Linked DNA regions of Notamacropus eugenii. The protein of the gene in region 2 purifies or fractionates together with the protein of the main gene of each other region. This does not show direct contact. Links are inferred from orthologs where the notes say so. Each region holds a gene or a part of one and is shown on either strand. Other genes may lie near its edges.

Region 1 (7,293 bases), on a different chromosome or scaffold from region 2:
AATCCTGTATGCTTACAATGTAAATTTCATAATTTGCAATTATGTTTTTCTAGCTCGTATTAAAGTGTATCAAAATACTATTTAAAATAATGCTATTTTGAAAGATTATTTCTCTGGAAAACACTAACAACTTTTTGGGTAATTATGATCTTCCTCCAAGATGATCAATTAAATAATGAATAAAAAAATCATTAGATCTGCATAAGTATGTGAGGCTTAAAGAGAATATAATATTACTACCTTCAAAAGGTTTTTCCCCTACATAAGTGACTTTGATAAAGAAAACAGACTTCTATCTGATATCTGCACTATTTCTTTCATTGCTTAGATGGCAGGCAGTGCAGATATATGAGGTAAATGTAAAAACCTCATTTGGATTCAAAAAATAAACTTTGCAAGTTCAAGATGAGGAAAACATAGTTATCTGAAACGGAAACATGTCATCTGAAAGAGACCTTGCAGCTGCAAGTTCAGTTTGAGTGAAGAGAGTGATATGGGTGACAGAAAAGGTGATATGATACTAACCTGTGTTTACTGAAGCATCATAATGGTTATAGTTCAACTATACTGTGCCTTGGTAAGACCACATCTGGAGTACTGTGTTTAATTTTGGGTGCTGCATTTTATAAAAGAATGTTTATAAGCTCAAGAACATCTAGAGGACTAACTAGGATTGTGAAGGGTTTCAAGATCATGCCACATGTGATTCAGTTGAAGGAAGTGGGAAGATTTAACTTGGAGACGACCTAGGGAGATACACGACTACCATCTTCAAGTATCTGAAAAGCTGTCATGTGGAAAACGGATTGGCCTTGTTCTTTTATGGCTAGAACAAAACTAGAAGCAAGGGCTGGAAGTTAGAGGGTAGATTTAGGCTTCATATAAGAAAAAAACTTTCCTAATGAGAGCGCTCCAAGAAGGAAATGGGCTACCTGAGAGAATGTTACCAAGAAGTCATCAGACAAAAAGAACGGATGGTCACTTGCTGAAGATGGTGGAGAGAGGATTTTTGTTCCAGTATTGGACACAGTAGACAGGTTCTAAGGACCCTTCCAAATCAGATTCTATGCAACTGTCTAGGAAGTATTTTGAGAACATTATCTTGTACTTCCTGTCTCTTCAAAGTAGTGTATAAATAGTAGCAATAGGATGCTTTTTCTTAAAAGAAATATCACTGTGTATCCTTCCCTCATAAAACATTTTTTGAGTATCTACTATGGGTCAGTCATTATGCTAGGTACTAGAAATATAAAGAAGACAGTAATATCCAAATAATATAAGATTACATTTTTAAAACTAGAATGGTTAACAATATAAAACTTGGGAAATGCTTATACTTTACAATTCATCAGTCAGTAGTTTAGGTCAATACTTTAAAACTCTTAAATAATTCACTTTTAGTTTTCTAGGATGAAATAATCAATAAACATTTATTAAGTCCTACTACATGTCAAGTGTTGGTGATAAAAAGACAAAAAACACAACAGTCCTCAAGGAGCTTACATTCTATTGGGGAAAATAACACACACAGGATCAAAAATAATTGGGAAGGCAGGGGAGAAGCACCAGCAGATCAGTAAGAACTTCTGTGACTCAATTTTTAAATAAAAAAAAATGGCTCATTTTACATACTTCTTAAGAATGCTCAAAGTTATGTATTGGTGTTCATAATGGGTTCTTGGGTTCAATGTGGCCAATATAACTTGATAATCTAATCCAACGACCTGAATTACATAGTCCTTAATCCCTGATTCCATAAATATCTAGACCTCTAAAATAAACTTTTACTAACAAGCACCCATTTTTACAGTTTTAATAAAACAGATGAGAATGATTGGGTGTTTTTTTCCTAATGAGAACTCGCCTAAAACTCCCGTTAGTAACAATTGTTTAACAAATATGCTCTAATATAAGAAACAAAATGTTCCAAGGCTGAACATGGATAGCTTTTGAAATACTCCTTGGACGCGTTCATTTAATTATCTCCCCTACATGAAAGTTAACAAATTTTGGAGCCTATGTTCCTTCAACTACAATAAAAGGCTTGGCTTCCATAAGATATGGGTAATCCCTGTGACTCCATTGTATTTACAGAGTAGCTGTGCTGTTGGCTCCCACATCCCCTTCAGAGGAGGATTTTACACCAGACCTCAAGAGCACACAAGTAGGCACGCACAAAAGGGGCTCCCACCTCCGCCCTTTCCCTAGTCCCCTCCCAGGAAAAGACCACAGTCATTAATAAGGTAGCCCCCACAGGTGCCCTGGGGTGTGAAGGATAAAGAAAAGCTAAGGAAAAAATCCCAGATCATCCCCTGACAAAGACTTGGCTGTACACCAGCGGAGGTCACCGATGGGAACACACCTGCATTCACCTACGGAGGGGAGGGAAAAGAAAAAAGAGCAGGCCGGCCCTCCCAGAAGCCATGACTACTAGCGGTGGTGCGGTTCGCAGTGAGGATGCCCACCACCCAGGTCAGGGAGGTGAGCGGGCCCAGGTGCCCCTCCTGTTCCATGCCGCCGCCGCCGCCTCCAGCGCCCCAACGCACCAGCCGGATCTAGGGGGGCAGGAGAGGACTGCTCCTGCTCCAGGCCGGAGAGGAAGGGAACGTGGAAGGGGGGGGTCACGCCCACCTTCACAGCGGAGGGCACAGCCCCCCAGGAGCCTCCCCCAAAGCCGGGAGAGCCCGGAGCGGGGGAGAGCAGATGCCGTTATTCTGGGCAGAGGAAAGCGCGCGAGCCGGGAGGAGCCGGAACCCGGCCAGCCACCCACCTAACGGTCCGGTCCTCGAAAGGCCGCGGGGCAGGCGCCACCCAGGCCGCAGCGGGGGCGGAACTGCCATCACAGACCGAGGGAACAGGGACCCGGGCCGAGAAGGAGTGGATGGTGGGGGGTGGGGACTGTAGCGAGCGACGTCGCCATGTTAGCGCCTTCTTCCCTCGGTGCTCCCCGCCTGCTCCCGTCCGACACCCCGATCCCCACCATCACTCACCTTCCCCGCTCCCCTGGCTCGCGCGCCACCCCCGAATACGGGGGCCGTGACCACGAGCTCCGGCACCCACAGCTGTTTACAAACTACCCCCGGAGGAAAGGGCTGAACCGCACTTTAAAGGCCACGGGCTCCCACAGGCTTCCGTCCGATCTCGCGAGATCTTACTGACAACACTTCCCTCCGCCCCTTTCTCGCGCCTTCCCTCCTACATTTCCCCTCCCACGTCCCCTTCCCCTCCCTACAAAAACGTCCCCTCCCCTTCCTGCCGCAGGACCAACTGCCGGTCCCGGCTGGCTAGACTAAGAGGGTGGGGCGGCAAAAGAGTTGGAGTGGGATTAAAGGAAGAGGAGGAGAATGGGGTGGAGGCGGAGAACAAGAGACGGCTTACATCCTATGATTGGTCGAGGACCGTGAAGGGGCGGGAAGAAGGCGGGAAGAGGAAGGAAGTGGAGAGTTCTCTCAGGTTAGAAGCAGTGCGGCGGGCCGTGATTGGCCGGAAGGGAGTACAGTACGCGAGCGTTGGAATTCGGTAGTGCAGCGCGCCGAGGTCCTCCGGGGGGGAGGAGGAATAGGTGAGGCTGTGAAGTGTGGCTCCCATGCCCAGCCACGGGGCAGGGCTTGGCAGTTAGTAGGTGCTGCCCTCTTCTCAAGTGACTCCTCGGGCGCCTGAAGACCTGGGAGAGAAACGCGACACCCTCCTCCTCCTCTTGCTGCTCCCCTCCCCCGGCGCCACCCTCAGTCCTGGGGCGCATGCGCAGTCCCTCTCGCCTACCTGAAGGGGCTCTGTCCGCTGCTGCCACATCAGTCAGAGGCGGAGCTCAGGTGGTGGAGTGGGTATTTTTGTTTGCCTTTTTTAAGTGCCTACACACCTAAAGAAAAAAAAGACGCAGGCTGAGAGGTGGTTTTGAGAGCGGACAGCCAGAGTAATCGATCGCTTCGGTTCGCTTCCGACTAGAATGAAAGCTGCCTGAGAATTTGGACTCTATTTCCAAGTAAATGTTAGTCACGTGGGACCCAAGTTGAAAGGGATTTCGCCCCAACAGCCTCCACTTTCACCTGGTTGTTAGAGAAGGTTCCCTCCTGGTCACCCCCGATCGCCATATAGGAAGGAAGGGACTCGTTCTTCCCTTCAGGACCAGAATGTGAAGCTTACCTTACCACTGCCGAGGTTGCAGGTGGAAATGACCTTCCTAGGCTACACTCATCCATCACTTTTTTTCTCATTAATAGAGCTCAAATAAGGAGTCAGGCTTGGGGTTCTGGAGTCCGAGAATCTCGAGTTACTTGTTATTTGTTGTCTGTGTAACCTTGTGAAAGTTATTTCCCGTCCCTGGCCCTCAATTTCTTCATCTATAAAAATGAAAGGACTTAGATGAGATCACCTTTAAAGTCCCGTACAGCCCGAATTCTGTGATGGCTGTAAATGGCTGCACCTTCAGCTTTGATGGGTATTTACAAAATGAAGAAAATCACTTTTTTAAATTCTGAAAAATTATGCCTGTACATTGCTCAAACATAATTGTGTTTGCATTTATTAGTAATCCCACCAAAGAATCACCCACAAATTTCATTTTTGATTTGCACTTTCATGGGATTTAGAATTGAAAGAATCTTTAAGTGATCGCCCAATCCAAATTCTTCCTTTTGCAGATGAAGAACTGAGACCCAAAGAGATTTTAAAAACTTGCCTGATTTCACACAGAGAAGAGCTAGATTCAAATATAGATCTTCTAACTCCAAATCTGCGCTTTTCACAGTTTAGCAGTCATGAAGTATATACAATTTGCAAGTCACCAGGCCCTGGTCATACAAAAAGAAAAATGAGACTCCATACTTCGAGAAGATTGCCTTCTCCTGGAAGGTTAAAAGGTGAAGATGTGTAATATCTGCTAATTTAAGGACAAAAAAAGCATAGCATTCTAAGTTTTCTTTCAAAATTATGGAAAGGAAATTGAGATTATGAAATATTGCCCACAATAATTTGATTCATGCTTAGAAAACAATAATCATCTCACTGTATTTCCTCTTGGTATGTATAACAGTATTTTTTCTAGTTATACTTAAATAAAGATCCACAATACATTTCTCTAATGGCAAATTCAGAAGTGAACATTGGGGACTTCAAATATAACTTATCAGTTCAGCAAAGTTCAGTTATTAATTAAAGCCTTTTCAAACAATAGTTGAATCACTTGAAAAAGTTATAAAAAATTATATGTAGAAATAATACCAAAATGAGCATTATATTGTGACTATCACATTACAGACATCACTTATAATTCCAATAAAAAGGGGAACATCTGTCACCTTATAGATGGCTTTGTAAAGAATATTGATTTTATCAAACTCACGTGGAAGACCACAGGGCCAGCTTTTCATGTGAGCTTCCCTGAAATGTGCTTTATAGCCCTACTATTAAATTACAGGTGTGCTCCTAAAGATCATGAAAAGCACATGTACCTGGACTTCTTAATAATCAATCCCAAATTCTCTATACAATATATGGATTTCAAGGGTGTTCAGTAATATTAGTTAATCAAGACTATTTGTCCAATGGATTATTTAATGAAATAAGTTAGTCATTGGCATTGGCCTGAAAAGTATTTTTGCCCCCCTAGTGAAACTTAAGAATCTTTCATTAACAGCACTTTCTATAAGAGCAAATTTATTTCAGTATTCTCTAATCAGTTTTTTCTTCTTCCTGTTCACATTTTAAACAACTTTTAATGGCATGGGGGAAAAAAAACAAACCTAGACTGGGAGTCAGGAGATTTGGGTCTTAGCTCTGGTTTAACCAACGTAATTGATTTTAAACAAATCAAACCCAGAATATTTATCTGTAAAATAAGGGAGGGTGAGGAGTAAGACCAATTTCTAAGTTCTCAACCATAGCTACAATTCTATTATTCTGTTTTAAAGCAGATTAAATTATTAATATTTAATGTGATATGCCCTCCCAAAGTATATATATAAATATACAAAGTAAATTGATGCACAGATATTCAGATTATATTTCAAAGGTAAAGAATGTGCACTTCAGTAATGGTATCTGGCATTAAAAATGAGGTTGTAATGGCGCTGGACCTTTTAACAGATTTCTGGCATGCATACATGTACATGAGCCAACTCAATCCTCTTTTAAAACTAATTTTCAATACACTAAAGACAAGAAGGATGCCAGATTATTAATGCTTGAACATTAAAAATTAAAATGATGGTAACTTCCCAAATTTCATAGGAAACATCAAAGCATATCATTAAAATGAACTGTTTAAAAAACATCATCACATCCACAGTCCTTATCTATAGGAGCTTAAAAGTATTCACTGTAAAAATATTAATCTACAAAATGCAGAGTAAATTCATCATAAACAAGTCTGGAATGAATCATTAAAATAGTACCTCTTTACCCTCTCCAACACTTTATATAAGACAAAGCCAGCTGTGATCAGGACAAGAAAATTTCACAAACTCTTGTAGTTCAGCAGAGGAAATAACATAAGTGTATCTTACTTTACCAGTAGCTATGTTCCTGAAAACTTTCATGTGCATTTAATTTTTGCAAATCAATCATTTTCTCATTGACATACATTAAAGTTTTGAGGTGCTTTATCTTCATTTCTGATTAATCTTCATTTGGCAGTGACTCCTAATATTTTGGCTTTAAAATTCTCTTGCTCTCCTGACTCACTCAGCCTCCCTGCCAAGTAGTTAATGATTTACTTAAATGCATGAGGGGAACTTTCTATTTAAAGGAACTCTTCCATGAATTCTTTCAGAAAGAGAATGCTTCCATAACATGAATAATCATCTCATGATGGCTCTTTTATAAATTAATTTTTTTTTAATATCAGGTTTTCTAAAAATGAGGAAAATTACGGCAGAGCAGAGGAATGATAGAAAATAAACATGAACAGTCTGTGAGGGGGAAAGGCCCAAGTAGCAGCCAGTTATGTTGAAGGCACTGGTATCAGAGTTCTTTTTCTGTGGCCTCTTCAAATGCTTTTTCTTTCAATATCTTTTCTCAGTTCATCAGTCAATGATTTTATGCTTCCATATCCTCTAATCTCAATAGTGCCTACATTTCTTCTCATTCGCTTCCTTCTATCTGTAGTAAACATCTTCAAGAATCCTATTTTCCAGGAAGATAATAAATTTTGGAGAAGATGTGGGAGAGTTGGAACACTAATTCATTGTTGGTGGAGCTGTGAGCTGATCCAACCATTCTGGAGAGCAATTTTGAACTATACCCAAAGTAATATTGACCCAGCAATATTACTTCTGGGACTCTACCCCAAAGAGA
Region 2 (7,206 bases):
GAACTGAATTATCAAAAAAGAAAAAATTTCCTGGCATTAGGCTCCACTCAAATCCATCTGCAATGCCACTGGCAATTATGTCTCCAAAGCAATTCTCAGCACAGTGAACAGTTTTAGTTTGTAAATTATCACCAACACAGGTGACTCATTTCTTCTAAAGTTGAAATATAGAATTTGAAGTTAGAAAAAGGCCAAAGCTAAAAAAAGACGTTGGTTGCCAAAGTATTGAAAACTACCTGTAAGTTGGAAAACACTGGATATTAAAATGCAAAAGGATTTATTTTATGAATTATGTTATGTCAAACTTACAAGCTTCCTTTCTTAAAAGACAAAATTTTAGCAAAGTTAAAATATTAGCAAAGACCTCTTACTCCTCAAGAGGGTGGCTGGGGGAGGTGAGAAACACATCTTAAGGTCAAAACTAGAGAAAGACGAAGCAAGTGGAGCAAAATGAAAACCTCATATGATGAGCAAAGATATTTATTCAAATATTGAGTCAACAAAATTTATAAAAATAACTCGTGAACACATTTAGAATTCTCTCAATCATCCAAAGGGATCAAAAGTGGCAATATAGTTTGCATGTCAAAAATAGACAGGGGGAAATTAGATAATATCCAGTCTATAGACTAAAATCCTGAAAAAAAGAGGCCAGGTACTTACTTCACTCCCACATTACAAGAGGGAGAACTCCAAAGTTCTGTACTCTCAGCACTCCAAGGCTAAGCTTGCCAGTCAAAATTAGCCAACAAAAAAAAATTCAGAAGGAAACCATTTGTTGGACCTTTCTAAACCAGGGATCACTATGAGCAAGTTTCTAAAATCTTTTACACCATAACTAAAATTGAATAAGGAAATCACTTAAAAAGTTATTTAGTGAAGTTAGATCGAGACAGACAATTCAACAGATGAAAGTTACGTCTTTAGTGAGCTCCTGAAAGTCAACTGAAACATTCAGGTAGCCACTATTAAGGATGCCAATTACTGTGTAAAATAAGAAAATTTCAAGTAGTAAGAAGTGAATCAAAGTTAAAGCACCCCCACTCCCCCAGGATAAGTGGCTTGGCACAGAGTAGGCACCTGAATAAACCATTTCTATTCATAACTAGAATTAGCTTATTGGAGATTAGCATTCTAACCTGCAAAAATTAAGAACTTGGATTCTTGTGAATACATATTTTTTAGAGAAATTATTTACCTAAAATTCTTTCTCATCTGTAAAATGTATGAAGAAACCAAAATATCTTCCCAGGAGGTCTGTGCTCACCAACATACCCAAATTTCAAAGTAAATGATTTGTAAATCAGGCCCTATTATTAACAAAGGCACATCTACATAGTGATATCCACATGTATTCTAGGGTTCATACATGCTCCACTGTTTTTTAAATGAACTTGGTAGATCCGCAATTCAAGAATCAAATTTGGAATGCCTTTCAAGAATGGAAAAATACATGTTTAAGAACAGCAGTGTACCTCCTTTATAATCCCCTCCTCCTTTTGAATACCATCGGAGAGAAGGTTCTTCAGATGCAACGAACCCAGTCTTAACCTTTAAAACCAATGCCCAATATCAAAGTTCTCCTACACTCCTATTAACCCCATCTCAAGCATTTGTCAAATTCCCATTCTCCCACTGTAAAATGGTGTCTATATCCCAAAAGGCTAGGTAAAATTCTCTCCAAACTTGAGGATTTTAAAGTCATTTAGCAAAATAAACGCCCATCCTTCCATCTTGGCGGACACGATGCACTGTGTCCATCTATTCCCATCGAGCTGTTTCAGATGTTCCCAAACTAGCGCCTGATCGAGACCGACCCTTCACGGCGGGAGCAACAAGGTCTCCCTTACTGTCAGATGGCCAGCCATTTTTCCTCTTCATTTTCCTGGCAGCTCCAACTACACAACAAGGAACAAGGAGACCGGTGGCCATCAGGGTGGGAGACGGCAAGAGGGTCTCCGAATGTCTCTATCGACACACAAACCACGCCGAGCCCAAAACAGAGTGAAACACCGAGAACTGCGAATGCTAAAAACCTGAACTAGGCATCTTGAACCGAGTCGAAGCATCCAAAAAATCTAAACCACTCCTTGCCAACTAAGTTCCAGTGCAACCAGTTCGTGGTTTCTTGGATCCTGGGAAACCCGCAGCTTCGCCTTCAACTTCCAGCCTGCCTTTCGGGGCCCCCGCTCCCTAAATCTGTACGTCGCTCCCCAAACCCAAAAAAGCCGATAGAAGACAGTCTAGAGCCAGCAGGTCCACCCGCCCCCCCGAAAAAAGCCAAACTAACCCTTGTCCTCGCTCTTCCTCAACCTGCTGAGCCTAAAGGAGCTTCAGACATTTTGGTCTGAGCAAGCGAAGCCACGGGAGATGCAGAGCAAGCTCGGCCCGTGCATACTCCATATTGATTCCGAACGCCAGTGGCAAAAAACCCGAACCGAGGATTACGGGGCAAGGGGAAGGCGAAGACGCCCCGCACGTCCAGCCTCGGAGACTCAAGGTCCACAGCGAAAATACTCAAGGAGGCAGGGACCATTTCAGCCCAGATCCAGGAAAGAAGGGGAAGGGAGGAAAAAGTAGGAAGTGGGGAGGAAAACCAGCCGTGCGGGCGCTGGGGGTGGGGGGGCGAGGGAGACTCAGGGCCCGGAAGGCGACGGGCTCCCGCAGCCCGGCCAGGAGACGCAGCTTCCCGGGCCATTGGGGGCCCACCCCCCCAACCCCCCCACCTCCCCACCCCGGCAGGGGCCGCGCACCTGGGGCCGACCGGACTGACCTGTGCCATCGCTGGCGGCCACAGAGAGGGCCGGGGACGCGAGCTTGGGCCGCTTGGGGGCGGGCGGCCCGGGCTCCACCACGTTCTCGGCCATGGCTGCGGGCTGCGGGCCGCGGGCTCCGCTGGGCTGGGCTCGGCTCCGCTCCGCTCGGCGCTCGCTCGCTCTCTGGCTCTCGCTCGCTCGCTCGCTCGCTCGCTCCGGCTCCGGCGGGCACACTCACGCACACTCACACTGGCTCCCACGCACGCTCACGCTCACGCACGCTCCCCCCCTAGTGGCGGGGCCGGCGCGGCTCCCGGCCGCTCGTCGGGGCGCTGGCGGGGCTGGGGCCTGCGGGGCGCCATGGGCCGCGGCCTCGTCGCCGTCTTCATCGCCGGCCCGGGGGCTCGTCGCCGGGGGTCGGGTCGGGCCGGGCCGCCGCCTCACATCGTGCTGCCGCTGCCGCCGCTGCTGCTGCCTCTCCGGCGGCGGCGGCGGCTCGGGCCGGGCCGCGCCGCGGGGCCTCCTCCGCCCGCCTCCGCCTCCTCCTCGGCCTGGGCCTCGCCTCCGCCTCCTCCGGGGCCGGGCCGCGCACCCAAACAAAATGGCGGCTGTTGTTCGTCCGCGGCGCGGCGCTCGGCTGCGCGGCTCCGGCTGCGCTGCGCGGCGCCCGCTCGGCTCGGCCCGGGCCCCGCCTCGCCTCGGCCGCGCTCGGCTCGGCTCGGCTCGGCTCGGCCGCCTCGGCTCGGCTGCGCTCGGCTGCGCTCGCTTCGGCTGCGCTCCGCTCTTCTCCGTCCGCTCCGCTCGGCCTAGTCCTCCCTCTTCCTCCTCCTCTTCCTCCTCCCCCAGCCCTCCTCCTCCGCCTCCGCCTCCTCCTGCTCCTCCTGCTCCCAGGCGAGCGCCGGCGGCGGCGGCGGCGGCGGCGGCGGCGGCGGCGGCGGCAGCAGCAGCAGCAGCAGCAGCGGCGGCGGCAGCGGCGGCGGCGGCCGGGGCAGCAGCAGCAGTAGCGACGGCGGGGGCCGGAAATGAGCCAAGGGGGAGGGGGGCAGGGGGCGGGGCCGGAGGCGGACGGACGGACGGCGGCGGGGGGAGGGAACCCGAGGAGAAGGGGCGGGGCCTGCCCCCCCTCGGATAGGCTCGCACAATGGGCACCGAGAAGGCCGCAGGAGGCGGGGCACTGGCCGAGCCCGGGACCGCCCCCTCCTCGCCTTCCCCCCGCCCGCCCGTCGACAACGCGCAGGGGGCTTCCGCAAACTCCCCAAGCGAGCGTCATTCTTAAAGGGGAGGAGCGGAAGGGGGGGGGGGGTAAGGAGGAATTTAAAGTCGGAGGGTAAGGACGGCGCGGGAGTTGCTGGCGCTGGCCTCCGCTGGGAGAGAGGAGAGGAAGGTGCTACGCCCTGAAATGAGCCCAGGCACTGCGCAGGGGGTTGCCTCCTAATGCGCCCCTGTCCGTCCTCCACCCCCTCCCACCTAGCAGACCCCTATTCCTGGCTCCTGCCGCCCCCACCCCCAGGCCTGATTAATAAAGAAAGAATGACATGTAATTAATCGGAAGCGCCCGCCCGCCCCCCGCAGGCCACTCCGGCCAACCCCGCCCTGGTCCGGCAGGTGTTGCCCCTAGGAAAAGCCGAGACTCGAGCCAGTGCGCCAGCCTCGGGGCCGAGGTGGGCACGGAGGGCCGCAGCACTTTGGGAGGGTTACTGGTAAATAGAGCTGGAAGAGATCGCGCCGACTGACTGCCTCCGTGCCGCTCCTTTTACAGAGCAGGAAACTGAGGCACGGGCAGGGGAGCGGTTTGTGATAGCCCAAAGCCCCGCTGGTAGTACGGAACCTGGATCCGCTGCAGCCGGAGCCTAATGCACTTTCCTCCCCCTCCCCCAGACCCACCCCTGTTTTTCCATTTGACGTGGATTATCTGAGACTCTTAACTTGCCATCCGTGATCACAGCACTTCAGTTACACTCCTCTATGTTTTATTTTATTCACTGAATGACATGACTCGGAGAAGGGACATAAACAGCATGAAGAACCCTTGGTTTTGACACCCTTCCTTGGATGGAGGGAGCGGCAGGGGGCCGAAGGAACAAGCATTTATTAGAGCCTACTATGTGCCATGCGCTGTTCTAATACTTTACAAATAGAATCTTTGTAAGTATGGACTGGGATCCAGGCAGAGGACCTAAGCTGAAGCTGTTACTGTTTGAGAGAGCTTGGCAAGTCATCATCCCCTTGGTACAAACGAGAGTCAGAGGACAAGAAATCAAAGCCTTCCCCTGGCACTTAATACTTATATGACCCCTGCGCATATCTCCTCCAGTCTCACAAAAACCCAAACTTGAGGGTGTTGGACTAGGTGGTTTTGGAAGGTCCCTCCAGCTTTCTATGATCCCTGTTTCCTGTTCTACAAAATGGAGGTTAAAGAGAAGATAGTGGGCTTCCCCTCCTCCCTTGGTTTTAGGTCTTTAATCAAAGTCGGTATGACCACCTGTCAGGTGTGTGATAGAGGGAGGGGATTCGATTCAGAGATTTGACCAAGAGGGCCCCTGGAGACCCTTCTGCCTCTGATTCTTTGCAATCACTAGGCTGAGAGGACCTCCTGCCTCCAAAGTATGGAATCCTAGGATTGTCCACATGGCCTCCGACAATGAAAAGAGCCTGGAACTTAGATTCTGGATAAACCAAAGTTTAAATTTTGTCCCTGTCATCTCTTAGTTGTGTACTCATGAGCAAATTGCTCTTTGTCTCAGTCTCCTCCTCTGTAAAATGTCTAAAATAAAACTTTAAAGTGCCTGTGTTTGTAACCCCATTGATTAGCACATACTGAGCACAGGATAAATGTTTTTCATTCATACCTGCATTCATACCTGCTTCACTAGGTGCTCAGGAGGTTCAAATGATATAATGGATATAAATTGATATAATGGACATAAATTCAGTATGCAGAGAAAATAGAAATCTCAGACTATGTATTTTACAGCTGCTGGTTGGGGCCTTCTCTAAGAAGAACATTTTCTTGCCTCCTTTAATAACATTTCCTGGCTTTCTTTAAGCCCCACCTCAGTTCCCAGTTCTTCAGGAAGCTTTCCCCAACCCCTCTTCATTCCAATGCCTTCCCTCTCTTAATTATTTCCTATTTATCTTGTATATAGTTTGTACATATTTGCTTGTTGTCTTCCCCACCCACTCACCTCCTGAGAACTAAGTGTTGGTCCTGGAACATGTTGTTCAGTTGTTTCAGTCCTATCAGACTCTTCCTGACCCCATTTGGGGTTTTCCTGGCAAGAGATACTGGAGTGGTTTGCCATTTCCTTCTCCAGCTCAATTTTACAGATGAGGAAACTGAGGCAAACAGAGTGAAATGTCTTGCCCAGAGTCACACAGCTAGTTAAGTGTCTGAGACCTGATTTGAACTCAGGGAAGTTTGAACTTCCTGACATCAGGCCTGGCGCTCTAGCCACTGTATCAGCTAGCTGCCCTGGTAACTGCCCTGACTGACTAGCACTTAGCAATCACTTAATAAATTCTTGCTGAATGATCTATTCAGGAAGCTAAGGCCTTGAAGTAGGAGAGGATTTGGCCAAGATCACATAGCTATTGAGAAAGCATTGGGATTAGAACCCAGTTCCTCTGATCCAAATCCGAGGCTCTTTCTATTACACAAGTTCTTTTCCTGCAAAGGGAAGAAAATAGTAATGACTAGGATATAGAGCACCTACTACGTACCAGGCAGTGTGCTCAGTGCCTTCCAGTTCTCTCATACGATCCTCACAACAACCTGGTGAGGGAGGTGCTATTTTGTCCCCAGTCTGCAGCTGAAAAAACTGAGTGACTTGCCCAGGGTCATTGGGCCAGTAAGTGTCCCTTCCAACTCCAGGCCCCACTCCCTCCACATATCTCCCCTAGGGAAGGAGCAGGTAGACAGTGGTAAGAAGGAAAAGCAAGGAATTTGTTTCACTGAGATGACATCAGAACAGTGGTTAAAGAAAAAAAAAGTCCTCATTTCTAACCCTTCCCCCTGGATTTACTGCTCTGCTCCCCTGGGAGTTTCAGGACTCCAGAGAAGCCTGACATTTCTAAACTTTGGGCCATAAGATCATAAAATTTAGGAGAAGACCATCAGGCCCAACTCCCTCATTTTACAGAGGAGGAAACTGAGGCCCACAAAGGGGCATTGACTTGCCCCAAGGTCGCCCCCCTGGTAAGTTTTAAAACAGCAATTCAGGGGCAGCTAGGTGGTACAGTGGATAGAGCACCAGGCCTGGAATCAGGAGTACCTGAGTTCAAATGTGGCCTCAAACACTGACTGTATGACCCTGTACAAGTCACTTGACCCTGATTGTCTCATTTAAAAAAAATAAACAGTAATTGAGTCCAACCACAAAGCCAAGTTGCTTACCATTTACCAAGTTGCTTTTCTGTCCCTGCTCTTGCTCTGTACAAAGCTGCTTCTTTC

Evidence for each region. Proteins that work in one complex are often made in the same cells at the same time.
Region 1: the proteins of EP300 (region 2) and ATF2 purify together in Homo sapiens (affinity purification with mass spectrometry; 3 studies listed by BioGRID and IntAct, with this or other methods). This does not show direct contact. The link is inferred for Notamacropus eugenii from reciprocal best matches to the Homo sapiens genes EP300 and ATF2.

The regions. Positions count from the first base shown.
Region 1 is NC_092876.1:237,515,131-237,522,423, forward strand, and holds the start of ATF2 (cyclic AMP-dependent transcription factor ATF-2), read right to left. Parts: upstream 3,153-7,293; 5' UTR 2,991-3,152; intron 1-2,990. UniProt on the Homo sapiens protein: Transcriptional activator which regulates the transcription of various genes, including those involved in anti-apoptosis, cell growth, and DNA damage response.
Region 2 is NC_092874.1:300,164,819-300,172,024, reverse strand, and holds the start of EP300 (histone acetyltransferase p300), read right to left. Parts: upstream 3,045-7,206; 5' UTR 2,868-3,044; coding exon 2,774-2,867; intron 1-2,773. UniProt on the Homo sapiens protein: Functions as a histone acetyltransferase and regulates transcription via chromatin remodeling. Acetylates all four core histones in nucleosomes. Histone acetylation gives an epigenetic tag for transcriptional activation.